3 separate regions of the Mus musculus genome follow, and all the other regions are reported to be linked to region 3. The links are microRNA targets in miRTarBase. Many come from high-throughput screens and were not tested one by one. Region 3 holds a microRNA gene; each other region holds the end of a gene's coding sequence.

Evidence for each region. The annotated mature microRNA mmu-miR-3087-3p reads UAACUCACUGUCAUGUCCUCA and lies in region 3 at 5,319-5,339, opposite strand. An mRNA with a match to its seed (bases 2 to 7 or 8) in the 3' UTR can be bound and repressed. Matches are read on the target gene's strand: a 7mer-m8 pairs with bases 2 to 8, a 7mer-A1 pairs with bases 2 to 7 and ends in A, and an 8mer does both.
Region 1: the mRNA of 5730455P16Rik is a reported target of mmu-miR-3087-3p. Seed matches in the 3' UTR shown: 7mer-A1 at 4,867-4,873, 7mer-A1 at 3,490-3,496 and 7mer-m8 at 3,230-3,236.
Region 2: the mRNA of Car5a is a reported target of mmu-miR-3087-3p. Seed matches in the 3' UTR shown: 7mer-m8 at 3,528-3,534.

The regions. Positions count from the first base shown.
Region 1 is chr11:80,357,582-80,368,500 of GRCm38, forward strand. 5730455P16Rik (RIKEN cDNA 5730455P16 gene) reads right to left here. Exons shown (of 10, transcript NM_027472.3): 8 at 10,481-10,617; 9 at 7,255-7,358; 10 at 2,911-6,437. The coding sequence ends at 6,231. Among named protein-coding and RNA genes, the nearest start is that of 5730455P16Rik, 15 kb to the right of the region's middle.
Region 2 is chr8:121,912,657-121,916,656 of GRCm38, forward strand. Car5a (carbonic anhydrase 5a, mitochondrial) reads right to left here. Exons shown (of 7, transcript NM_007608.2): 7 at 3,479-3,851. The coding sequence ends at 3,708. BC048644 (cDNA sequence BC048644) reads left to right here. Exons shown (of 2, transcript NR_167716.1): 2 at 3,694-4,000. Among named protein-coding and RNA genes, the nearest start is that of BC048644, 6.8 kb to the left of the region's middle.
Region 3 is chr2:25,437,233-25,448,151 of GRCm38, reverse strand. Mir3087 (microRNA 3087) reads right to left here and starts at 5,373; the gene lies at 5,318-5,373. Abca2 (ATP-binding cassette, sub-family A (ABC1), member 2) reads right to left here. Exons shown (of 49, transcript NM_001368624.1): 14 at 10,734-10,907; 15 at 10,562-10,664; 16 at 10,373-10,487; 17 at 10,069-10,259; 18 at 9,771-9,921; 19 at 9,490-9,694; 20 at 9,187-9,351; 21 at 8,905-9,085; 22 at 8,613-8,825; 23 at 7,431-7,627; 24 at 7,160-7,342; 25 at 6,780-6,964; 26 at 6,553-6,673; 27 at 6,041-6,277; 22 more. The coding sequence ends at 276.

The sequences.
Region 1 (10,919 bases), not on the chromosome of region 3:
GCCTGGGACTCTGGGAGTTTAACAGCTGAGCTGGCTTTGCATGGATGAGGCTTGGAGAAGCCAACTCGGTGTCAGGTCAGCAGCAGCCTGTGTATCTTTCCAGCTAACTGCTATTGAGTGCTGGAGGATTAAATTGCCCTGTTAAGTACAGAGTGGGGGTTACTTCCCTTCACATCAATTTCCTGTGTATTATTGGAGAATGTTTCAAAACACCGCAGGAGCCATCCCTGAACTAAGATCAGGAGTGCAGTTGGTTCAGGCTGACTGATCGCCCACTTGTACCATGCGCAGAGCTGAGTCCCCTGCAGAGGTTTTCCACTGAAGTCTCCCAGGCTCCAGGTACCTGAACTGTGGCTTCAAGGCAGCTCCTTGAAGACCCAAAAGCTGCTTCCTTCCTTACATTGCCTTTGACATCCTCCCATTTCTCTTTCCTTTCCTTTCCTTTCCTTTCCTTTCCTTTCCTTTCCTTTCCTTTCCTTTCCTTTCCTTTCCTGTCTCTTCCCTCCTGTCAGACTCTCATTCATCAAGTAACTTGCTAAGATGTTTACCAGTGATAATTTAAGAAATGAAAACAAACTGAGCGTGGTAGCATACACCTTCAGTTCCAGCCTCAGAGGCAGAGAACAGGCAGATCTCTGAGTCAGGACAGCCAGGGCTAATCGGAGAAATCCTGCCTTGGGGAAGAAAGAAAGGGGGGAAAAAAAGAAAGAATTTACTAAGTTCCTACTTATGCTAGACATGATGGTTTGAATATGCTCGGCCCAGAGAGTGGCACTATTAGGAGGTGTGGCCTTGTTGGAGTAGGTATGTACTGTGGGTGTGGGCTTTAAGACCCTCACCCTAGCCAGGCAGTGGTGGCGCACCCCTTTAATCCCAACACTTGGGAGGCAGAGGCAGGCAGATTTCTGAGTTTGAGGCCATCCTGCTCTATAGAGTGAGTTCCAGGACAGCCAGGGCTACACAGAGAAACCCTGTCTGAGGGTAAGGGGGAGACCTTCACCCTAGCTGCCTGGATGCTGCTATGCTCCCACTTTGATGATAATAGACTGAACCTCTGAACCTGTAAGCCAGCCCCAATTAAATGTTGTCCTTATAAGCATTGCCTTGGGGGCTGGAGAGATGGCTCAGCGGTTAGGAGAACTGACTGTTCTTCCAAAGGTCCTGAGTTCAAATCCCAGCAACCACATGGTGGCTCACAACCATCTGTAATGAGATCTGATGCCCTCTTATGGTGTGTCTGAAGACAACTACAGTGTACTTATTTATAATAAAGAAATAAATCTTAAAAAAAAAAAAAAAAGAGTTGCCTTGGTCATGGTGTCTGTTCATAGCAGTAAAACCCTAAGACAATGAGGTAGGTATTTTTCTAGCTAATGTTTTGCTTTTTGAGACAGGGTCTCACTATGTAACCCTGGCTTCCCTAGCTAATTTTAAACAGACATTCACCTGCCTCTAACTCCTGAGTGCTTCGACTAAAGGAGTGTGCCACTATACTCAGCCATTTTCATAGCTGTTTCATTTATTTATTTATTTATGGTTTTTTGAGACAGGGTTTCTCTGTATAGCCCTAGCTGTCCTGGAACTCACTCTGTAGACCAGGCTGGCCTCGAACTCAGAAACCTGCCTGCCTCAGCCTCCCAAGTGCTGGGATTAAAGGCATGCACCACCACTTTCATAGCTTTCATTTCACATTTTTATGTAAAATGCTTATGAACAATCCCATATTTGTACAACAGAGGAGGACTCATAGTCACATGCTGATAGTAACTAGTATGCTGGATCCATACCTAAGGCACACACCCCCACACCCCCGGTCCTGTTCTTGGCCCCTGAATGTTGCATGGGACTTCAAGGGCATTAAACCATGCAATGATAGAGTGTGAGAAGCCATTCCTGGCTGGCCATGGTGCTGCATGATTTTAGTCTCAACACTTGGGAACGGAGGCAGGCAGATCTCTGAGTTTAAGGCTAGCCTGGCCTACAGATGGAGTTCCGGGACTGCCAGAGCTCCATAATAGAGACCCTGTCAACAAAGGGCCAGTTTCTGGCTAGGGAGAGAGCTCAATAACATGGCTGTGCAGCCATTGGGCCTTGAGTTAAGTTCCTCATACCCACGTGTGGTATACACTTGCCATTCCAGCATAGGGAAGGCAAATCCCTGGGACTTGGCCAGCCTAGTCTACTTGGCAAGCCCCAGGCCACACATACAAGGTCCTCTGGTCTCCACATATCCGTGCAAACACACACATGAACATGCACAATGAAGAGCCTGTCTCACTGCATCAGCCCAAGGCTATGAGGAACAGTTGGTAACTTTGAAATGTTTGCTCAGACTTCTCTTGTCAGCCCTGTCACTACTCCCTGTCACCAGAATTTCCAGCATCAAGTCCTGTCTCTCACTTTTGTTTTGCTTTGTTTGTTTGAGACAGGGTTTCTCTGTGTAGCCCTGGCTGTCCTGGAACTCACTCTGTAGACCAGGCTGGCCTGTGACTCAGAGATCCGCCTGCCTCCATTTAAAGGCCTGCACCACCACCTAGAGTCCTATCACTCTGAACAATGAGCAAGACAGGAAAGGACCTGAGCTACTGCGTCCTACAGGTGAAACTGTTTTTTACACAACAAATGAACCATTGTGAGAAACCTGTTTACCTCTTCTGTGTGCATTCCAACAGGTAATCTGAGTTTTTTTCACACATCTTTGTGTGTGTGTGAAGTATAATTTCCATGTAAAATTACTGGAAATAATTAAAGGTAAGAATTAAGCTCAGTTAGGTAAAACTACCTGCCTTGACCTGGAGTTTTATCACTGTTACACAGAGGCATTTTTACACAAGGCCAACATATTTCCTGCGTACTGCACATAAGCACTCGTTTACTTCGCATCTGAACAAACACTATTTAAGCCTTTAATATTTTAAAATTAATTATTTATTTACATTTCAAATGTTGCCCCCCTCCCAGCACCCCCTCTTAGAATTCTTCATCCTATTCCCCCTCCCCTTTGTTCTGAGAGGGTGTTCCTCCATCCCCCAAGCCTTTAAAATTTAATACATTCACATTAAAATTTGAATATGACAATAGGCTTATGGTTATGAGCTGTTTTTCATATCAACAAGATAATTAATTCCATGACATCTTTTTTCAGTGGTACAGAATTTTGCAGATTCTTTGTTTTTTTGTTTTGGTTTTTTTGAGACAGGGTTTCTCTGTATAGCCCTGGCTGTCCTGGAACTCACTCTGTAGACCAGGCTGACCTCGAACTCAGAAATCCGCCTGTCTCTGCCTATGCAGATTCTTTTTAAATATAAGACTACTATATACAATTGTGTAGTGTAGTGGGCTTACATTACAAAGAAGTACCTATAAATAAGCAAAGAATATAGAGTTATGTTTTTCCTATATCCACACGTGACTTAATGCATCTCCTTTATTATTGTTTTGGTTTTCTTTTTACCAAGACAGGGTTTCTCTGTGTAACTGGCTATTCTGTAACTCATTCTGTAGACCAGGCTGACTTTGAACTCAGAGATCCATCTGCCTCTGCCTCCTGAGGGCTGGGGTTAAAGGTGTGCACCACCATTGCCTGGCTGCATTTGCGTTTATTTTTATTATTTTTTGGTAGAGCATTTGCTTTTATTTATTATTGGTATATATATTATTATTTGTGTGCACAAACATTTGGAGGTCAGAGGACAATCCTCAGGAGCCATCTACCCTTCTGTTTTCTTGTTTGTTAATAGTTAGCTCTGAAGGATGCATAGACAGAGTGAGAGAGAGAGCAGCTTGCAGGAGTGAGCTCTCCCTCCACCTTCACATGGGCTCTAGACTTGCCAGCCAGGGCCTTTATCCATTGAGCTATCTTTTTTTTTTTTCCATTTGTTTTCAGATAAGGTCTCTGCTGGCCTGAAGCTTACCAAGTCAGCTGGGCTGGCAGTAAGAACTGAGTCTCCTCCCCAGTGCTGGGACTACAAGCACATGCTAGCACTCCTGCTTCTGTATTTAAGTCCCGAGGATCAAACTGAGGTCCTTACGTTTGCATAGCGAGTACTTTACACTGAGCTGTTTCCCTAACCCCTACACTTACTTTTAGAATTCTATTTGCTCCTGATTGTGAATTTAAAAATAAAGATTACTATTTTAGAGACTCAAAATCTCGATGTCCTAATGTCGCTCATTTTTAATGATTTCCAAGTGGGCACCAAGTGCATTGGGAAAAGATTCAAGAAAAGTACCACAGAGCTGCTGACTATCCAGCCGTCAGATAGCTATAAAAATGCTACTTACATTCTTTTCTATACTGCCTATAATCCAAGCTATTAAACTTTAAAGCCATATGAAAGCATTTATGAAGATACTGAATTGTATTTCTCATTAAAGGGAAAGGAAGGGCGTGGTGACTCCTATCCCTAGACTGACTTATGGAGAAGCAAAGGCAGAAAGCCATATCATTAGTCTCTTTGAAAGTTAGAACTCAGCTCCTAGCAGGGTTTACAAGCAGTTAAGAATGCCTCCGTTTCACAGACTCATGCTCCTCTGAGCATCCCAAAGGCAGTGAGAACATAAGCCTTCTGATTTTCTAAACCAAATTCATTACCAAATGGATTTATTAAAGAGCTATGCAGAACAGCTACGCGTGTGGCTGCAGCTGGCACCCATGGGATGAGAAATGACGACTCAAGGGCTCTTGCAATTGACTCAGGGCAAAACGATCTGAGGCTTATGACAGACAGAAAGATCTAAAATCAATGAGCAATTGTGTTGAGAGGAATTTGTTTACATTTTTTAATTTTTAAAATATTGTTTATTTTCTTATTTATTGAGACAGGGACTCACTCTGTAATTCTGGCTGGCCTGAAGCTTACTATATAACTCAGTAAATCAGACTGGCCCTGAACTCAGGGAGTTCCAACTGCCTACGTCTTGTGGAAGGTTACATTCAAAGACATGAATCACCACATGTGCATTCTTATATTTGCTTGTAAAGGATATTTCCTATATTAACTGTTTTATTTCCCTTTTTCTTAATACTGCTTAAGAATTCCAGCATTTTTATCTAGAAATAAGGAAGAAAAAAATACAGGCTCCTGGCAAATAAATACCTATTGTGTAAATTGCCACAAGAGCTTTTTAGTCAGAGAGAATGTTTCATCTTGAAGCTAGTATACCCTTTCTTCTCTCTCTTCCTCTTTCTTTTCTTTCTTACTGGTTTTAGATTATTTTATGTGTATGTTTTGTCTGCATGTATATCTATACACTACATGTGTGCCTGACGCTTGAGGAGGTCAGAACAGGGTGTCAAATCCCCTGAAATTGAGCCACCAGGTAGGTGCCGGCTCCTCTCCAAGAGCAACAATGCTCTTAACTGCTGAGCTGCCTCTCCAGCCCACCATATCTTCATGTATTTATTTATTGAGTATGTAGCTCTGTATGGGTCAGAGGCAACTTGTGGAGTTGGTTCTCTCCTACCAAGTGAGTTTGGGGATTGAACATAGGTTGTCAGACTTGGTGGCAGGTTTCTTTACCTTCTGAGCCACCTTGCCAGCCCACAAGTTTCTATACATAAAGCTCATTTTTAAGTGCTTATACACTCATAATTCGTGTGTATATTCGCTTCAAAAGGTGGCTTCGTCATTCCTGCCCATTGGTTTGTATCAGGCACTCAGAGGATGAACAGGCTGTCAATGAAGCGAGCTGATGGTGCAGTAAGACCAGGAAGGTGATGACTGCCCTGTAGTCCAAGCTGGACATAAACTTACTCAGTAGCTCAGGCTGGCCTGGAACCTCACAACCTCCTGCCTCAACCTCCTGAGTAGCTGGGATTATAGGCATGTGTCATCACATCTTGCTAGGATCATGTACTTTACAAACTTCTACATTGTACTGAGAAAGGCATACTATGTTTCTTTTGGAGGAGGAAATCCTGCTAAACACTACGGTAAACTCCCAAGAAGCCAAAACTCATCTCCAGAGCTCTTTAGGCAGCACGTGCTTAGGATTTATGAGACAGCAAAATTCCCCAGCTGTAACACAGCGTCTGCCTAGGACCTGGTGAAGACATTCCTCTGATTGTTGTGTTTAATTAAATTAAACAAAAAAAGCACAAAAGGAAGAAGCTGGGGTGTTTCCAGTCATCTTAGGGCAGTGCAATCCTATAAACAATGGTAATTACAGCCCCCACATGCAGCCTCAATACACTCCATGAAACAGATCCTCAACACGGGACTGGAACTTCAGACAAGCGCTTCTCTCATGAATTCTTCAAGGACAGCCACCACACTTTTGGCCTCGGGCATTTCTTCATGTTCCACTTTAACAATCTTCAAAAGGATATCTCCACTGCCACAGTTCTTAAGGAACATGTAACATTTAAACAGAGCGTAATGATTCATCTCTGCCTGTCGGATAAATCTCTTCAAATTGTTTGTGTCTTGTATAGCCTAGAAAAAGATTGCCCTGTAAGTATGTTCAGTGACATGATGATGATGCTTGAAAAATACCCCGTCTCTAGCTGAACACTCATCGGACACTGATAATGTCGGCTTTTGTTTTGTCTCTTGACACAGGGTCTCACTATGTAGCTCTGGCTGGTCTTGAACTCTGTCTCCTGAGTGCTGGGATTAAAGTTATGTACTACCCACCCTGCTAATGTTGAACTTTAAAAAAAATACCCATTATTCCTATTGCTAAAATGCTTGCCTTTAGTGTAAAAGAATCTCACTTTAAAAAGACTTTTAAAAAAAAAAATAGCTCCTGGTACTGGAGAGATGGCTCAGCAGTTAAGAACACTGACTGCTCTTCCAGAGGTCCTGAGTCCAGTCCAATTCCCAGCAACCACATGGGGGCTCATAACCATCTGTAATGGGATCTGATGCCCTCTTCTGGTATGTCTGAAGACAGCTACAGTGTACTCATATACATTAAATAAATAAATAAATAATACAAAAAAAGCTCTTAAGGTACCAGCCCTCACTTGCAAGAATTTGAAATAATTTATTTCTGTGTTTTTCAACTGAGATGTGTCAGTTTGATGCACCCTAAATATAAGCAAGCAATTCACCCCAAAGTGGTGGAAATGAAATCACACGCATGCAGTGCCGCTGGAGAGCAGACACCTCCTGTGTTCTGAGCTCAGAGGATGCCCCATTTAAAGAACACTGTAACTGCACAAGCCCATCATTGATGCTACCACCTGCAGTAATTAAATGCAGAACAAAAACAATGTAACTGACCCATAGCCCACAGCCACCTCATTACCTTTAGTTTAAAGTTTTCCAGGACTTGTCTGAAAAGAAAAGGGTTACCGGCTTCAGCACCGTGTAAGAAAGCTTGCATCCAGTCCTCACAAAAACGGTTGCTTCCTAAACAACAGGAAATACACAAAATTAAATACCTCAGAGCACATATATGTCAGTTTTTAAAGACTTGACTTTTGTTACTCTTCCTTCTGTATATATGCTGTATGTGTACATGAGTACAGGGGCCCTGGGAGAGCAGATGTGTATTGGATATGCCGAACCCAACTCTGGGTTTCTGAAAGAAAGAGCAGCACATGCTATTAACCATCTGTCCAGTCCCAGCACATGAATTTCTTTATAAAAACTTTTTTTTTTTTTTTTTTTTTTTTTGGTATTTCAAGACAGGGTTTCTCTGTATAGCCCTGGCTGTCCTGGAGCTCACTTTGTAGACCAGGCTGTCCTCGAACTCAGAAATCCGCCTGCCTCTGCCTCCCAAGTGCTGGGATCAAAGGTGTGCGCCACCACCAGGCGGTCATAAAAACATTTTTAAATAATTATTTAAAACTCCCAGCACTCGGGACAGCAGCAGATGGATTCTATGAGTTCAAGGCCAGCCTGGTCTACAAAGCAAGTCCAAGAGAGCCAGGGCTACAACAGTTAAGTGCCATAATCACATTCCCTCTCCCCATCAGAAAGGACTGTCATTTCTATCCATACTTCAAGCTTTGGCTACGACCTTGACCTTATGTATGTGTTGTTCTGTACATGTTAGTGCTTTGTGTGGTTTTCTTAGTGGCGGTTTCACTAAACAGTGTGTCTCAGAGCCATCCTAACATGTATGTCTAGCTGACTTTTAGCTGCTCTCCATTCCGTTGTGTATTATTGATTTCCTGTTGGTAAATATTTAGGTTGCTTCCAATCTGTTATATCAAGGAATGCGTTAGAAGCTGGGTGTGCTGGTGCATGCCTTTAAATCCAGCACTTGGGAGGCAGAGGTAGAGGATGGCTGAGTCCCAGAACAGCCAGGGTTATGTAGAGATCCTCTTGCCGCAGTCAAAACAACCAAAAGGACCTTTAGAGCTGTTTGCGTGCATCTTCCTGGTCTCCCCAACTTGGGATGCAGCCTAGTTTATGTAGGAAGTTCCAGGTTTTCCAAACATTGTCTCAAAAAATAAAATAAAAAAGGCTGCCATGTGTAGCCTAACACCTTTAATCCTAGCAATCCAAGGCAGAGTGAGATCCTGTCTCAAAGAGGTCTTGGGTGGGTGAGAGAGAAGACTAGGAAAGAAAAAGTACTTGCCTCACAGAATGAGGACCTGAATTAGAGTCCCCGGACCCTGTAAAGGCTGATACACACAGTGCAAGCAGCATATGGGGAGCTAGAAGGAAGGACGGGAGAAACCCCAGAAGCTCATGAGCAAGCTCGGCCCCAAAACACTGCAGGCAACAACAAAACAGAGGCCCTGACTTAAACTTGGTGGAAAGTGAAGTTGTCCTCTGACCTGCACTTGCACACTGTAGCACTTACACTTGTTAAACTCACAAAAACGTGTGTACACACACACACATACAAAGCCTTTATATGGGGCCAGCAAGGTGACTCGGTGGGCCCAGGTATTTGCCACCAACCCTGAGTTTGATCCTGATGATGGAGAAAACCCTTTCCCACAAGTTATCCTCTGATCTTCAGATGTGTTCATATATATATGGACTAAACAGAAACATTGGAAACATTGGAAATGCCTTTAGGCTTGGGGCAGTGGCTCAGTGTATAAAATTCTTTGCCATGTGAGCATGAGGTCCTGAGGTCAGACCTCCAGCACCCACATAAAGCCAGATGCAGAAGAACGTATCCCTCTGTTCCTATACTGAGATGGAAGGTGTAGACAGGGAAAACATCCCCAAAACCTTGAGCCCAGCTAGACTGTCATACACAGCAGCCAAGGAAAAATTTTCTCGAACAAGGTAGAAATGAGGACTGACACCCAATGTTGCCATCTGACCCCCATGTGTGCTAGAATACATACACATGGATCTGCACTCACACAGACACACACTCAAAAGAACACATGGGCTGGGCGTGGTGGTGCACGTCTTTAATCCCAGCACTCGGGAGGCAGAGGCAGGCGGATTTCTGAGTTCGAGGCCAGCCTGGTCTACAAAGTGAGTGCCAGGACAGCCAGGGCTACACAGAGAAACCCTGTCTCGAAAAACAAAAACAAACAAAAAAAAAAAAAACAAAAAACAGAACAAAAGAACACATGGTGTTCTTTTGAACATGGTGGCTCACAACCATCTGTAATGAGATCTGACTCCCTCTTCTGGTGTGTCTGAAGACAGCTACAGTGTACTTACATATAATAAATAAATGAATCTTAAAAAAAAAAAAACTTTCCTAAAACAATGCCTTTAATGCCAGGTGGTGGTTGAGGTACTCTCAGAAGGCAGAGGCAGGTGAATAACTGAGTTTGAGACCAGCATAGCAAACATAATGAGTCCCAGCGTAGCTAAGGTTACACAGAGAAATTCTGTCTTGAAATACAACAACAAACAAAACAAAACAAAACAAAACAAAATACCCCAAAAAAAAACAAAATAAGAAAATGCCTTTAAGCAAGGCATGGTGATGACTGTCTATATCTTAGCACTTAGAAAGTAGAGGCAGGAGAGTTAGAAGTTCAAGGCCAACATAGCCTATATGAAACCATTTCTCAAAAGTAATAAACCGCTGGGTGTGGTGGCGCATGCCTTTAATCCCAGCACTTGGGAGGCAGAGGCAGGCAGATTTCTGAGTTCAAGGCCAGCCTGGTCTACAGAGTGAGTTCCAGGACAGCCAGGGCTACACAGAGAAACCCTGTCTCGAAAAACCAAAAAAAAAAAAAAAAAAAAAAACCAAAAAAACCCCAAAGTAACCAACCAACCAATGAAAAATAAGCCTTTATATGATGCATACTTGTAATCCTAGGAGGGCTAAGGTAGGGGGATTGCCAGCTCAAAGCCAACCTAGACTACACACTGAGAACCTGTCTTAAAATAATAAAATTTAAAAATGTCTTTATGAGTGCTTTCTGTGTTTGTTCCTGTGTACACACGAGGCTTTTCTTACACACAAGCGTGACTTGACCCCCTGTTTCTAGGACCATTAAGGTCTCAGCAAGCTTGGTACTGCACAAGAAGGACACGTCTGTATCTTGTGCTTTCTGTGCAAGAGGTCCACAAACACTGCCTCCTGGTTTCTGACTCACCTGCATTGTGGAACTGAGGCTGGGGGCCGCTACAGTCGATGATCACAGACTTATGCTGTTCCTCTGTCATGGCCATGCATAACGAGGTCATGGTGCCTTCATGAATAAGTCCCTGGAGACTGGCCACACTCAGAAACCTGTGACATATACAAGTCCTTTCCACAATCAGCACTGCAGAACCGAAGAAAACAAATGCATCCTCTACTGGGAGGGGATGGTAACATGTGGCTGGTGAGCTGGCCCAGGAAAGGGGAGGCTTTCTTCAGAAATTATATTCTTTTTTTTTTTTTTTTTTTTTTTTTTTTAATTTTTCGAGACAGGGTTTCTCTGTGTTCTCCTGGCTGTCCTGGAACTCACTCTGTAGACCAGGCTGGCCTCAAACTCAGAAATCCGCCTGCCTCTGCCTCCTAAGTGCTGGGATTAAAGGCGTGCGCCACCA
Region 2 (4,000 bases), not on the chromosome of region 3:
AATGTGACTCCTTTGTGGCTTGTCCCAGGCTCCAATCTTGAGACCTGGGCCACAATCCCATTTCCTGGCACACACAGAAGAGTCCTGTTGCTCAAAGAACCTGAGGCCCAAGCTCCTTTCCCATCAAGTTTTCCACACGGTCTGGCCTGGTGGAAGCAGCTCTGTGCCTGCATTTGAGATTCAGGAATTCCCTCTCGTGAATACTGCTTTCCCCTTGCTGCATGAGTCTCAGAGGTCTGGGACACACAAGCATAGGACCTGGGTATCCACTCTTTACAAAAAAGACAAAAAGCAGACAGGTTATCAAGTCTCTGTCCCAGCATCTCACAAGCTACAGTTAGGGATGCGTGCTATCACACATGGCCAGAAGACACACCTTTCTGTTGGGAGCCTTTGGGTGGGGACCTGTCTTGTCTCAGCACTTGCTTGTGTAGACTGAAGTCCCTCTCCTAGAGACTCGAGAATGCTTGTGTTTCTTCAAGTCTCAAGAATGAACTTTGGGGGCTGGAGAGATGGCTCAGTGGTTAAGAGCACTGGCTGGTCTTCCAGAGGTCCTGAGTTCAATTCCCAGAAACCACATGGTGGCTCACAACCATCTGTAATGGGATCTGATGCCCTCTTCTGGTGCGTCTGAAGTCATATATATGTATATGTGTGTGTGTGTGTGTGTGTGTGTATATATATATCTTTTTTAAAAAAAAAATGAACTTTGAGTTCCAACCACAGGCAAGATGATCACTTGCCCTCTGGTGTCATGTCTATAGTGACAGAGCCCCCTGACCCTCTCATACTCTGTTGCCAGCCTTGGCAGCCAAGACACCCAGCATGCCTGGAAGTCAAGAGTGGCCTTCAGGCATTTGCTGCACCTGGGCCAGCTACTGCCACGGTCACAGCTGCACGCTAGCCTCTACACTCTTCTAGGAGGAAGCTATCGGGAAGCCCAGGGTGGCTTTCTGTAGCTGCTCCGGGACACTGCCTAGCCCCGCTGCAGCTGCAGGCTGTTGACACCATAGGAAACTCTGAGCTGGGAGAGGACCAAACTCTGCCAAGGTAAACCCGGGGACTCCGCGGGCTCTCTTTGATTCAGCCTGCTATTTGTGGACCAGAGTACATATTTATTCTTTATTTCCCCCCAGCGAGACACAGTGTGCCTTGGAAGACAGACCAGCGCTTGCTTATTTTTCTGTGTTGTTTTTCATTGCATTACCTGGCGGGGAAGCAACGTTTGAAGATAATACGATAAGGTGGTTGAGCCGTGTTTCCACCTGAGGGAGAGTGGTAATGCCATAAAAGCAATAACTACCACATGAATGGGGATTTCCCACCCCCTTCTTCCAAGCAAGCAAACAGTTAAAAAAAAAAATCCCCAAATGGCTGAGGTGACAGAACATCTGTTGTCACCTGGAACAGAGGTGATGGAGCCCCAGGTAGTCCTGATCCAGTGTACAAAGGAGGCCTCGGAGCCGGCCATTCCTCTTGGCTTTGTGATGCTGAATGCTGTGTGCTGGTCAGAGCAGGTGCACGGGCAGGAGGCAGCTCGCATTCCTCCAGGAAATAAACACGGAGGGACCCCAACCCTCGGGTACTGTCCATCTTCACTCCATTTGGAATCTGAATCCCAGGGGGCTGATGACGAAAGACAACAGAAGCCAAAGGATCACAGAGCACATTGGATGCACTGGGCCAAGAGGTCAGAAGACGACACAATAGGGATAAGGACCAGAGTGTGACGGAGGGTGAGCGGTCTGTAACAGGCCATTGTCAGAGCCCAAGGGAGGGGCAGCTGCAGGGCCATCTGAGGGTGGAGATCCCAGGAAAAGGTAAGAAGCTGGAGACCCAGCCTGAAGGAGCAGGGTGAGGGTGCCAAGAGCGGTGATGTTTGTAGAGGAGGCACCACCGCGTCCCCAGCCACACTGGTGGCTAGTGTGGTGGAGTGAGGCTGTACACCCTGCTAAGGACACTCCTCTCTCTATAGTGCCACTACCAGGTGGGGCATCCGGAGATGCAGTTGAGGCCCTGAGAGTTGAGTCTGCCAGCCGTTTTTCCAGAGAAAAGGCATCCAACAGAGGGGTGTCTGGCAGCAGTGTGGCAGGGCGCATGTCTCGCCTTTCAAGGCGTCTCACTTTATACCGAATCCCTTCCTGGAGGTCAAGAGATACAGAGCCTGTGGCGATGTTCCTCAGGGACACCCACGTCTAAACCTTTGACCCCGTGGATGTGTGACCCAGCCTCGGGGACTCTGCAGGGGATCAAGGCCATGGTTATGGGGAACTGATCCTGGACCGTGTAGGGACACCAGGTAAAAACCATGAGGGGGTCTTTCTGAGGCCGTTGGGCCAGACCACAAGAGATGTGACTGTGGAAGTATGGAATGAGGGGACAGAAAAGTCAGTTTGTGGCCATAGAGCCAGCAGTATGGAGGGCAAGCCTTGACTACGCTGAGTTCCAGGCCAGCCTGGGGCTGTACGGCGGTGAGTCTCTCCAGGGCCTCCAGAAGGAAGCCGCCTTGCTCACACCTTGACTACAGCCTGCCTGGGCTTTCCTAAGAATGGGCTTCAGGCTCTCGAAGCCACCCAGCTCTCCATGGTGTGTTACAGGGGTCTCCAATTTGACACTGAAGAAAGGATGTTGGTCCCACCCTCTGTGTTACTGAGGACACTGGGTGGCCCTAGCAGTGTGCCACAGACAACTTCCACGTGCGGAGCGGAAAAAACAGGAGCTGAGAGCCAGACAAAACAGTCAGTTGGGGAGGCTTGCTTTTGTTTTATTTATTTTTTATTTGTTCGGTTTCTGTTTTTGGATTTTTGTTTTTGTTGTGTTGGGATAGGGTCTCATTACATAGCCCTGGCTGTCCTGGAACTCACTGTGTAAAACAGGCTGACCTTGAACTCACAGAGATCCATCCTTTCTGCCTCCCCAGTACTGGGATTAAAGGCATGAGCCACCACATTCCACAGTTTGCTCAGTCTTGAAGGCCACCTTGTACCTATCTTGGGTCTTCTGCTCAGAGTTGTACTCTATAAACTTAAGTTTCTCTGTCTCTGTCCTTCTCACTGTGTCTATGACTTGGGCATTTTGGGGCACCTGTATGTATAGATGCAAATGTGCATTTTTTGCCTGTGGATGTCACAGGGCAATGTCACATGTCAGTCAGTCCTCAGACACCTCCCACATTTTGCCTGAGACAGGACCTCTCACCAGGTCTGGAATTTTACAACACAGCCCCCAGCCGGCTGGCCTGCAGGCTTCCACCCATCTCTGCTTCCCGTGTTGCCCGTCACTGAGGCTTACGTGCTCACGGCACTGTCGTTAGCTTTTCGTACAGATACTGGGGATCCGAACTCGGGTCCTCGGGGCACAAGGCCAGCACTTTGTGGGCTGAGCTGTTCCTCAGCTCTGCTCGGGTTTCTTTAAAGAATATCTCTTATTTACAACAACAACAACAACAACAAAGCAGGTCTCTCCTCTTCTTTTTTTTTTTTTTTTTTTCGGGACAGGGTTTCTCTGTGTAGTCCTGGCTGTCCTGGAACTCACTCTGTAGACCAGGCTGGCCTCGAACTCAGAAATCTGCCTGCCTCTGCCTCCCATGTGCTGGGATTAAAGGCGTGCGCCACTGCCGCCCCGGCTCGTCGTGCCACGTGGCACCCTGGAAACTCGGGCCCCCTTTCCGGTCTGCTCTGCCTATCCTTACAGACTTCATCCTGAGATTAAGACCTCATCTTGGTCCGATCAAGCCGGAAGGACGAGCGAAGTTTGCGGTCCCTGAGGGGCTGGAGCGGGCGGTAGTTGTTCACCATCACATCCTCTTCCTCACCTCGCCCGGAGAACAAGAGTGTGCGGAACGTGGATAGCTGGAACGGAGAACAGCCGCGGTGAGCTGACACAGGCACAGAGAGATCCACGTGCCGGGTGACCCCTCCCACACTGACCAACAGAACTCAGTATAATGAACCCGTGACTCCGCGAAGTCCAAGGGATCACTAAAGGCACAGTGGCCACC
Region 3 (10,919 bases):
GCAGCCCATGTCACCCTGGGAAGGTGGATGGTGCTGGGCAGGGTAAGGGGCTGGGCCAGGACCCAAGGCTTTAAGGCAAAGCAGGGTGAGGGTATGTGCAGCCCAGGGCCAGGCCAGCCTTTGGCACAATTCGGGGAGGATGGTAGTTGGGAGGAGGGCAGGAGCCCTTTGGTCCTGAACCTGCCTTTCCAGGGCCTGGCATGTGTGACTAGGGGCCACGGCCACCGCCTGACATCTGCCCCACACAGCTGCATCCCTGATGTGGCTCTTGATGGTCAGCAGAGCGTATCAGTGTTGAAGGAGAGCTGGGCCTGGTGAAGAGCAGACAAAATGGGCTTGGGAAGGCATCTTCAGCGCCCAAGTGGGAGCTGAGGATATTCACGCTCTACCTGACTTCTCGCTGGGCACTGGCACTCCCCTGAGCATCCTCCCCCCACTAAGTACTCGTTGGTGTCTGTTCCTCTTGGCCAGCTTGGTAGTCACTCCCCCTAGTCTTTGGTTTCTTGTAATCCCCACCACTGATCTGGGGTCTTCAAAGCTTGCAGTGAGTTCTGGGCTCTGCATTCGGTTTTTGCCCATTCCAGCTTCCCCATATCCACTCAAGGCCTCGACATGCAGACGACCCTCTCTGCTCCAGGGCCAAGCAGCAGAGAGAAGGCAGAGCTACAGCTGCCCCTCTCATGTAGGTCCTTCAGTGTGAGCCTCGGGCAGCCGGAGCGGCAGAACCGCCCGGAGGGTGCTGACCACTCACCCGCTCTTCCTCGAAGCTGATGAGGCCTTCATCCTCTGTGTCCAGGTCCTCTGGCTCATCAGCCACCAATGCCCGGAGCTCTGTGGGTGCGGGGCGGGGCCTCAGCAGGCTGAGCAGTCCAAGGGGGGACGGCAAGGACGAGGGCTCAGCCTCTTGCTGCTCCACATTATCACTCTGCTTCTTCGCAAAGTTCACAAACACCTGGGGACAGGTGGGCGGGGCCCGCCGGTGAGTGGTGCAGGCAAATCCAAGAGGGCACACCCCAACTCCACGCAGCACACTCACGTTATCCAGGGTGGTCTGGCTGACTGAGTAATCCTCGATGCCCAGCACACCCACCACCTGCTCCATCTTGCTGAACACCTGAGCCAGCGAGATGTGCTCTGACTTGAGCTGATACTGCACCTTCGTATGGTGTCTTTCCTGGAGGAGATCGGGGAACCATGGAGGTCTGGGGCTGCCAGGGCAGGACATGCTCTCGCCCTTACCCCATTTAACCACACCTACCTTGAGCATGGCCTCTGGGAAGTTCCTGTTGAAGAACCGCACCACGTCCTTCACGTTCTGGCTGCTTTTGGTCCTTACAGTAATCATGTAGCCATCCCCAAACCTGGTGGGACACAGGTGTGGCCGGGAGCCCCGCGTGGTGTGGTCTGACAGCCCTCCCACCTCCTGCACCCCTGCTCGGCTCACCTGTTCTTAAGGTGCTGGATGCTGCCCAGGCAGCGCAGCCGCCCGTTCACCATGATGGCCAAGCGTGTGCACAGAGCCTCACACTCCTCCATGCTGTGGACAGACAGCTCAGGCTGGTACCAGAGGGGCTGCCAGAGGCCCACGGAGGGGTGGGGGAGGGGCACACCTGTGTGACGTCAGCACCACCGAACGTCCCGTCTTGATGAGGTCCAGAATGAGGTTCCACAGGAAGCGCCGGGCCTTAGGGTCCATGCCAGTGGTGGGCTCATCCTAGGGCAGGGGTCAGTTCAGCCAGAGACACAGCCCACCCAACCTGGTTTTGCCGTCCTTGGCTGACCAGGAATCCTACCCCTAAGACTTACTAGAAAGATGAAGGCAGGGTACCCAATGAGGGCAATGGCTGTGGAAAGCTTCCGTTTGTTGCCTCCACTGTAGGTGCCAGCTGGCTTGTCTGCATACTTTGTCAGTTCCAGCTTCTCTAGGGCCCACTTCACTACCTGGCAGGGCCAAGCGAGGAGGTGTGGGCTTCACCTTACAGAACTCCCACCAGCACATGCACACTGGGGCACCCCCAGCTACTTCCCCGTTGTCCTCACCTGTGCCTCATCCTTCCAGGGGATGCCACGCAGCCGCGTGTACAGCTGCAGGTGTTCACGAGCCGTGAGCTCATCAAACAGGGCATCAAACTGCGGGCAGTAGCCAAGGCTCTGCTGTACCTGGAGCAGGTCCTTGAGCACGCTGGGGACAGAGGGTGATCAATACCCAGGACGGTATGCTCACCCCACACCTGCCCTCCTGGACCCTGAGGTCATGGTCAGCACACTCCTAAATCCACACACACACACCTTTGCACCTGAGGGGTGGGGTCTCCCACCCACTCACACCCTAACCCCAGCAGCCGTGCACCTGGAAGCAGTTACACACAGGCACACGCACATCCAATGCTTCCCTGTGTGTATCCAGGGTACAGGAACCCCACCTGTGTCCATTGACAAAGGCCTCTCCCCCAGTTGTGCTCTCATCTCCAGTCAGCATCTTGAAGGTGCTGGTCTTCCCTGCACCATTGACACCAAGGAGCCCAAAGCACTCTCCAGGGCGCACACCCAGGCAAAGGCGGTCCACTGCCAGGATCCGGCCAATCTTCCGAGACTTGTACACCTGACCAAAGAGCCTTCCCTCTCAGCAAAGGGGGGGGGGTTCCTGTCTGGCTTGACTTCATCCCACTGCTGGGACCCACTCCCCGCCCCACTCCCCACCTACTTTCCCACAGCTCAGAGCCCACCTTGGTCAGGTTCTCAATCTTGACCATGTCATTGTCAGCATCGCCACGGAGCACTCTCTGTCGCTCACTAGCCACATCCACATCGTCTTCCACAGGTTTAGTAGACACAGGCAGGCGTCTAGGGCAGCAAAGTTGTCAGGGCTTGGCCAAGCCACACACACACACACACACACACACACCCCACCAAGGGTCCGCAGCATCACCCAACACACTCCACTCACTGTGGCTGCCGTAGGAAGTTATACTGGCACATGATGGTGAGGAAGAATCCCACGAAGCCCTCGACTGTCATGGCCACCAGTCCACGTGTGACAATGTCCCACTCGAACGGGGACTTCATCTTGTCAAACTGGCCTGTGGAACCGCTGGTTCAGGGTTCTGAGAGCCTTAAGGGTCCCCGTTGTTCTTGGAACTTAAGAGTCAAGGACTAGGCACGCCACTCTGTGGCCCCCTGAAGGCCCGTACTGTCCACCCAGAGCCAGACTCACCAATCTTGGCGTAGTATTCGTTGATGTACTCATTGTAGGCCATCTCCATGAGCCCGTGGCCCAGGTTGTAGTTGGGGAAGATGAGGAAGCAGCTTTTCAGGTAACTGTTGACAACCTTCAGATCCTGGGGACAGCCATAGCTCAGCATTGCTGCCCCAAGCCACGCCCTGCTGCCCACTCACCCCCACCTTCAGATCCTGGGGGGCAGCCATAGCTCAGCATTGCTGCCCCAAGCCACGCCTTGCTGCCCATTCACCCCCACCTTTACCTTGTCATGCTCAAAAAGCTGCAGAAGGAAAGTGGCCACCGTGGCTGTGATGCCGATGAAGAGGTTGATGACGATGAGGAACACGTAGGCTGAGCTAGGGACCTCAAACCAGAAGGAGGCTGGGTACATGATGGGTGTGATGGACCACCTGTGGACAAACAGTGGTGGTCACAGGGCACCCCCAGCCACACCCACAACCATACATGCTCCACACCCCTCCCCAGCTCACCCATAGAGCAGGAACAAGGAGAGCACCGCGGGGAAGTTGGTGGGTGATGTGTAGGCAGGTAAGTCAAAGACAAAGAGGATGATCACGCAGCAGGTGGCTGGGACCAGGTAATTGAGCTGCAAAGGTGAAGGTGGAGGATGAGACCCGGGCGTAGGGATGGGAGTCAGGGACAGGGAGGGACCATGCGGGGGCACACCATGTCCCACACGTAGTTGGCCAGCCAGTAGATGACAGGGTTGCACCCGCTGACGAACTGCAGGTGTTTGGCCTTGGTGGATTTCTCTGCCACAAGGAAGACCACAAAGCTGGCTGGCACGAAGGACATGGCCACAATGATGAAGATGGCGATGACCACATCTGTGCCCTGCAGTCTAGAAGGGGACAGCACTCAGTTCCAGGAGGTGTCAGGACGAGGTGGTCCTGCCCCTCCTCAACTTGGTCTGCCTCACTCACAGGTAATCCAGGGAGAGGCTAGCACTGGTCTTGTTCATGGGGTGGTTGGTGACGGTGATGCCTGCACACGGGAAAAGGGTAGCTTTAGGTCCATGCAACCATTCGGCTCAGCTGCATCCCTGCCTGTCCTTCAACCCTGATTCTCCTTACCATAGGCTGCTGGATTGCCCTTGCTTTTGGGTAGGTTTGCACGCAGAATGGCATTGTTGAGGCTGTTGAGGTAGGTGGGCATGCTGTGGTAGCCCTTGTTATTGTAGAGCACCTGGGGAGGGGCAAGGACCTCAGAGAGGCTCAGAAACCAAAAGTTATTAGGCTTAGGACCAGGTGCCCAAAACCCAAGGGCAGCCGCCTACCTGAGCCACCCTCCGCACTGCAATCTTCCGCACCATAGGAGGGACCCGGGCACCAAAGGATGCTGGGATAGACTTCTGAACATTACCAAAGGTGATGGCTCCATATCTGTACAAGACAGGTGGGAGGGTCACTGAGGCTCGGCAGCCATCTGCCAGGCACCCCTTGTTCACAGCCACTTCAGGCCAACTTACCGGTGTAGTCGGAAACGGTCAGAGGTGAAGAGCAGGTACTCAGAAACATTGTGGCCAGTGATGTCAGTCAGGATGTCACCTGTGACCACTCTCATCTGGGGTGGGTGTCCACCCACACTGCTGGGGCATGAGAACCCCGTGCCCTGTGCAGAGCAGGTACAGCGGACTGGCTCATGCACTAGGCGTGGCAGAGAAGGCGCCGACGTCCACGTCTCTGTGGGCACAGTGCAGCACAATGAGATGGGTCACTCATGCCTGTGCCCCCCGGAGCCTTCCCTGAGGTAGTACCTGGCCCAGCAGTAGGTGGCAGGGACATGTTCCAGGCTTGCAGTGAATCCTCATCTGGGGACACGGGTGAGTCAGAAGGGGCGGGTGAGGGCGGAGGTGGCACGAAGTTGGACAGTGGCAGCCCCTGTGTGAAGGACTCCAGGCACATACTGTCGAAGAACCGTGCCGCCAGCAGGCGGGACTCTCCACTGCTTAAGTTCAGCATGGGTCCCAGGGAGCCGTTGGCAGGAGACTTGAGCACACAAGTGGCACCCACACCAGAGGGCAGCCGGAATGTGCTCACCAGCTGCTGGGGGCTGGCATCAGGTGACAGCCGTAATCTGAGGACATGACAGTGAGTTAGGAGCCATAAGTCTCAACTCTTGCCCTGCCCTGTGCTACAGCCCCAGCCCACGGCCTCACCGGTACTCCTGGCGTTCCTCATTGGCATAAGGGATAAAGTTGCCACGGGGCTGGGTGTAGTTGTGGTACTGAGAGGGTGACAGGACCAGTGGAGGTAGGTCACCTGATGGGTGAATACGGAGACCTGAGCAGACTGCAGTTATCTGATGCCAGCCCCAGCCCTAACACAGAGAGGGCTGAGCTTGTGGGGATGACTCCTAAGGAGACAGATCCTCTCATGAGCCCCTGAGTAAGGTTCAGAGTGTGAGGAGAGGAGCTCAGGACTGTTCTACAGGGGGCTGGGAGAAAAATGAAGCCAAGACCCAGGGGCAAGACAGTAGCCTCGCCCCAGACCACATGGGCCAGGCACCCTTACCAATCTCAGGGACAGACAACGCCACAGTCATGGCCACACAGACAAAGAAGGCAGGCAGCAGAATCTGAGAGCAGAGAGCTTTGGAGTTCCGACGAGCACAGTGGAAGCGCTTCACCAGGAGCCCATGGAACTGCCGCATCTTCAGCCACCAGCCCTCGAGTTTGCGGCTGCCCTGGCCCACCTGAGCCAGGGCCTCCATCTCTGCCTCTGTGCAGAGAGGCAGAGGTAAATAGCCAGTCCCACGCCACCCTTCTGGACCCTCCCCAGTTTCCCCATTGGCTTCCACCTTGTAAGCTGACATTGTCTGGGTCCTGCAAGTTGTCAAAGAGGGGACGGTAGTCACCGTAGCCATCAGAGTAGCCGGTGCCCTCCTCCCCACGGGCAGAGCCCACAGAGGATGCAGACTGCAGCGATGCCTGTGACTGTGCCAGCTCTGAGCACCGAGCCAGGTTGCCAGCTTGACCCCCCACAGCTGTCAGGCCCTCTGCCCCAGGCAGCACATCCTTCCGGGACTCCTTCACATCTGCAAACAACAGAGGCGGTGAGGGAGGGAAGGCTTGGGCCAAGGCTCTCCTCTCCAGGACATCTTAGTACCTCAGTCCCTAGTGTCCTCCCATAACCCCAGGCCCTGCCTTGATCCCAGCCTCTAATTCACATACCTACTCACAGGTAGGCAGAGCTACCATACCATCCACCACGAGCCTATCCTGACCCCACTTCCAGAGACTTACAGAGAAGCAGTGTCCCCAGGGCCTTCTGTGGGTAGCTGGACAGACCGCCAGCCTTGGGTGCTCTTACCAGCCTCGCTGTTCTCCAGTGACTGATCTTCTTCAGACACCTTGAGGAACACCTCCTCCAGAGTTGTGTCCATCAGCCCAAAACTGCTCAGATGGAGCGCATCCAGGCTGTGTTCCAGTTGCTGCAAAGAGATCGGGTAAGGCAGCGCCACGGAACGCAGGCAGCGACGTGTCCTTCTTCTCTCCGGGCCCCTCGTGTCCCTAGCCACCACAGCCAGCCCCACACACCTGAAAGAGGCGCTCGAAGGCCCCCTTCTTGACGGCCTCGCTGGGCAGGATGTAGGAGAGCTCGGTGCTCGTGTCTGAGACCAGCAGGGAGGAAGCCACATGCTTGCGGATGAACTGGGACACTTGCGGCTCCGAGCAGCTGCTCAGCCGAGGACAACCTGAGGGGCTGGAAGCCAGCCCTGGCTCTGGGAAGGAAGGGGGAGCAGAAGGGGATGCGTGAGAGGCTGAGGAAGAAGGGGCCTTAGTGGGCAAGCAAGTCGAGATGAGGCTTAGAGGTGTCCCAAGTCCCCATGAAGTGAGGGTGAGGTTGCACCTCTCCTAGGTAAGGAATCATGGGGTACGGAGGACCAGAGGCTGGTTCAAGTAGTCTCAGCACAGACCTTGGGAGGTGCCAGGTTCTGCAGGCTGCTTGACCAATGTGAGGCGGTACCCATCGCCATAGGCTCCCTTGAGGAAGAGGGGAGAGCCACAGCATTTGAGCTTCCCATGGGAGATGATGGCAATGCGATCCCCCAGCAGGTCAGCCTCATCCATGTGATGGGTAGACAGGAGGATAGTGCGGCCTGGGGTAGGCCAAACACCAAGGTAAGTGAACAGACAGGGCAGGCCGAGACACCACCCCCGCCACGGCCAGCCCGCTAGCCTGCTCACCCGGCTTGTACTTCAGAATGAGGTCCCAGATGGCACGGCGAGCATAGGGGTCCACGCCAGCCGTGGGCTCGTCTAAGATAATGGCTCTAGAGCCACCCACAAAGGCAATGGCTACCGAAAGCTTGCGCTTCATGCCTCCAGACAACGTCTGCACCAGTGAGTGCCGCTTGTTAGAGAGTTCCAGGTCCTCAATCATCCTGTGGGCCCGACAGGAAGGGGATGGGAGGGGGAGACCAAGGCTGGAAGGCTGACTGGGGAGAGCCCTCATCTCCCCATGTCCTCACCCCTCCCCCTGAATTCCACATGAGCATCCACAGCACCTCCCTCTGCTCATGCCCTTGTGGGACGTAAAACCATGCCAGGAAGTTTGGTGGGTAGAACCGGTTGAGACCCGGGAGAGTAGGTGGGCAGTCACCGGAGATTTAGGCAACTCCCTGCTCTCTGCCAGACTCCTGACTTGGAATACCTGCCATGCTTCTCACATAAAAGAAATGTGTCCTGTGGCCACATAGTAGGACCAAAACAGAGCTCTCCACACTAATGAGACATCTAGAGGCCCAGAGGGCTTAGCCAATAAGCTTCCCTTCCCAGACATTTCTCCCTGCAAACGGTATTTAATCTCGGGTCAGACCCTGAGAGAGGGCTTATGCATCCATTTTCCAGCTAATAAAGGATAAGGTTAAACATGGGCTGTTGCTTTCATCAAGACCCACCATGAGGAACCTGGGGAAGGCCTTTGTCTACAGACCCACATCACAACTCTCTCATGAAAGGCCCATCTGTGCTTCCAGCCTGCCTCTGGCAAGCTAAGGGCAATCACGGCTGGGGCAAGTCGGAGCTCTTCCCTCCACCTGCCCCCAACCTTGGAGCTAGATGCTGTCCTCAGCCAGTAGGCTCCTGACTCTACTCTCTGCCCTTCTACAACTCTCAGCAGCCGTCCAAGAGTCTGAGAATCCCATGCCCCCACCCCTCCCACCCCCTGCCCTGCTTCATCACAGCCCAGGGACCTCTGAACCAGCGCAGGCTTCCCCACATCTCAGACTGTGCTTATCCCTGCAGTGTGGGATAAGCGCAGTCAAACTGCCTGTGCCCAGCAGTGGGGCAGATTCAGATCCACATGCCCGCCCGCCTGTCCATCTGCCCACCCGTCCGTCTGCCCTGTCAGTCCCTCACTGCGCTCACTTGTCCGTCTCTTTGCGGATCTCCTCCTGTGCCATGCTTTTGAGGCGTGAGTAGAACCAGAGGTGCTCCTCCACCGTGAGCCGGTCAAAGAGCACGTTGTGCTGTGGGCACATGCCCAGGTTCTTGCGGATCTCATCCATCTCGGTGCGGATGTCGTGCCCATAGATAGTGGCTGAGCCCGACGTGGGTGGGAACAGTCCAGTCAGGATCGACCTGGAGTGGGGTAAGCGGGGTCACAATCCACCACATCCTCCCGTTAGCTAATCCCTCCTCGTTGTCCCTAGACACTCACATGGTCGTGGTCTTGCCGGCCCCGTTGTGGCCTAGGAAAGAGACCACCTGATTCTCATACAGATTGAGGCTCAGTTTGTTTAAGGCCATCTTCTTGTCATTCTTATAGACCTTGGTGAGCTTGTCCACACAGACGACCAAGGGCAGGTGGGTGGGCTCCTCCTCCATGCCGCGGGTCTCCTCTGTACCAGGGCCGAGTCAGCAGGCTGGGGGCAGCACCAAGGCCACCCCAGACCCCCAAACCCAGCACCCATCCCAGTCAACATTCTGACCCTCGCCTCACCGAAGTGCCGGCTCTCCATGGCACAGGCCTGGTCCTCCTCCATAACGCTGAGGCGCGGTGTGTGTGCCCATGGCCAGCTCCACTCCCAGGCTTCTGTCCGCCCACTGCCCAGCCAATAGGACTTCTGTAGCGGGAAGTACCAGGGCCGGGGCAGCCCATACATACCTGGGGGTCCAGGAGGGGAGAGCTGACAGGGGGCCTGGAGGTGACGACTATCCACCACAAGGGCCAAATACCACCCAGAGGAAGGCAGAAGCCCAGTGACCTTGTCCCACACTGGTCCCTCCACAGATAGGCCTGTACCTGGGTGCACAGCCTCAATGTACCAAGTGAGCACGCCGTAGACCACCGTGTCCACCATAAGCATGGTGACAGCAAGGAGCAGATTGAAGTCATCTCCTTCCACTGGGGACTGGCTGAACGTGTGCCACTGGATGCCCACTCCTGCCACTTCATACAGTGCAAAGTACTTGGAACCCAGGCCAAAGGCTGTTGTGGACATCAGGGACTGAAGAAAGATGGGTGTCAGTAGATGGGCTGGAGACGCGCACCCTATCCTGGCCCCGCCCGGCCACAAACCTCACCGCAATGCACTTCTCGAAGGCAGTGATCTTGTCATGGGCTACCTCCTCGCGGATCGCTACATACATGTAGGGAACGTAGCTCAGGAAGTAGATGATACCGCCACAGGCTGAGGCCAACTTAGCCTTAGAGTACAGCACAGACACCAGGAAGCTACAGTGGAAGATCACTTAGCCATTAACCCCAAGACCCTTCACTCCTGGCCTGCAGCCCACTTGGGCTGCCCCTGTGGGGCCCAAAGGAGCCCTAAGAGAGAGTCTGCCTATTTTTAACAGTTTCCCCACTCCCTGCAGTACTCACCAAAACATGATAGTGGCCACAGCGTAGACGGCAAGGAAGAGCCAGATAATGAGCACGTGGCTGTGCATGAGCACCTGGCCGTACTTGAGGATGGCGGTCAGAGCTGTCACGGAGATAGACAGCTGCACAAAGCCCGTGATGAACCAGGCCACCCAGTGCACGGCGTTGTTCAGGCCCATCGTCTTCATCACCTGTGGGGCAGGTAGGTGGGGTAGAGACGAGAGGAAAGGACAGCACTGCCGCTCCTCCCCTCCCACGCCGGCCGCCCCTCCCCTAGGGGGCGCCTGCAGCCACCCAGACCCACCTCCTTGAGCCTGTGCTCTTTCTCTGCCACAATATGCTGGATGGTCATGGCCACAGAGTAGACCCAGGAGATCACCATGCACAATGGCATCATGTGTTCAATGACAAACAGGAAGCTGAGGGGAGACAAGCGTGAGGTAGGGCTCGGCCCGAGACACCCCCCCCCCAACCTCTGAAGGCTGGCACTCACTCGTCACGGGTGTAGCAGGGGTATGGGAACATCTGCACGTAGTTGCCAGGTTCGACCACGTCATGCCCCACAAATGTGTTGATGATGGCGCGCTCCATCATGTCTGTGGGTTGGAGGTGGTGTCAGGGCGAGGCCAGGCCCCCTCGAATCCCATCTGGGCTCAAAACCTCACCCTGGATCCAGACGAAGCCATAGAGGAAGTAGAAGCGACCACCGGTGTTGGGCCCTGGACGCCAATAAGCACGGCGGATCTCATTGGTTTTCTCAGTGAAGCTTGAATTCTGGCGAATCTTGTAATGTACATGTGGAGGGAGGGAGCCGTCCTTCCGTGTCTGGAAGATCACGCCTGGAACAGGAG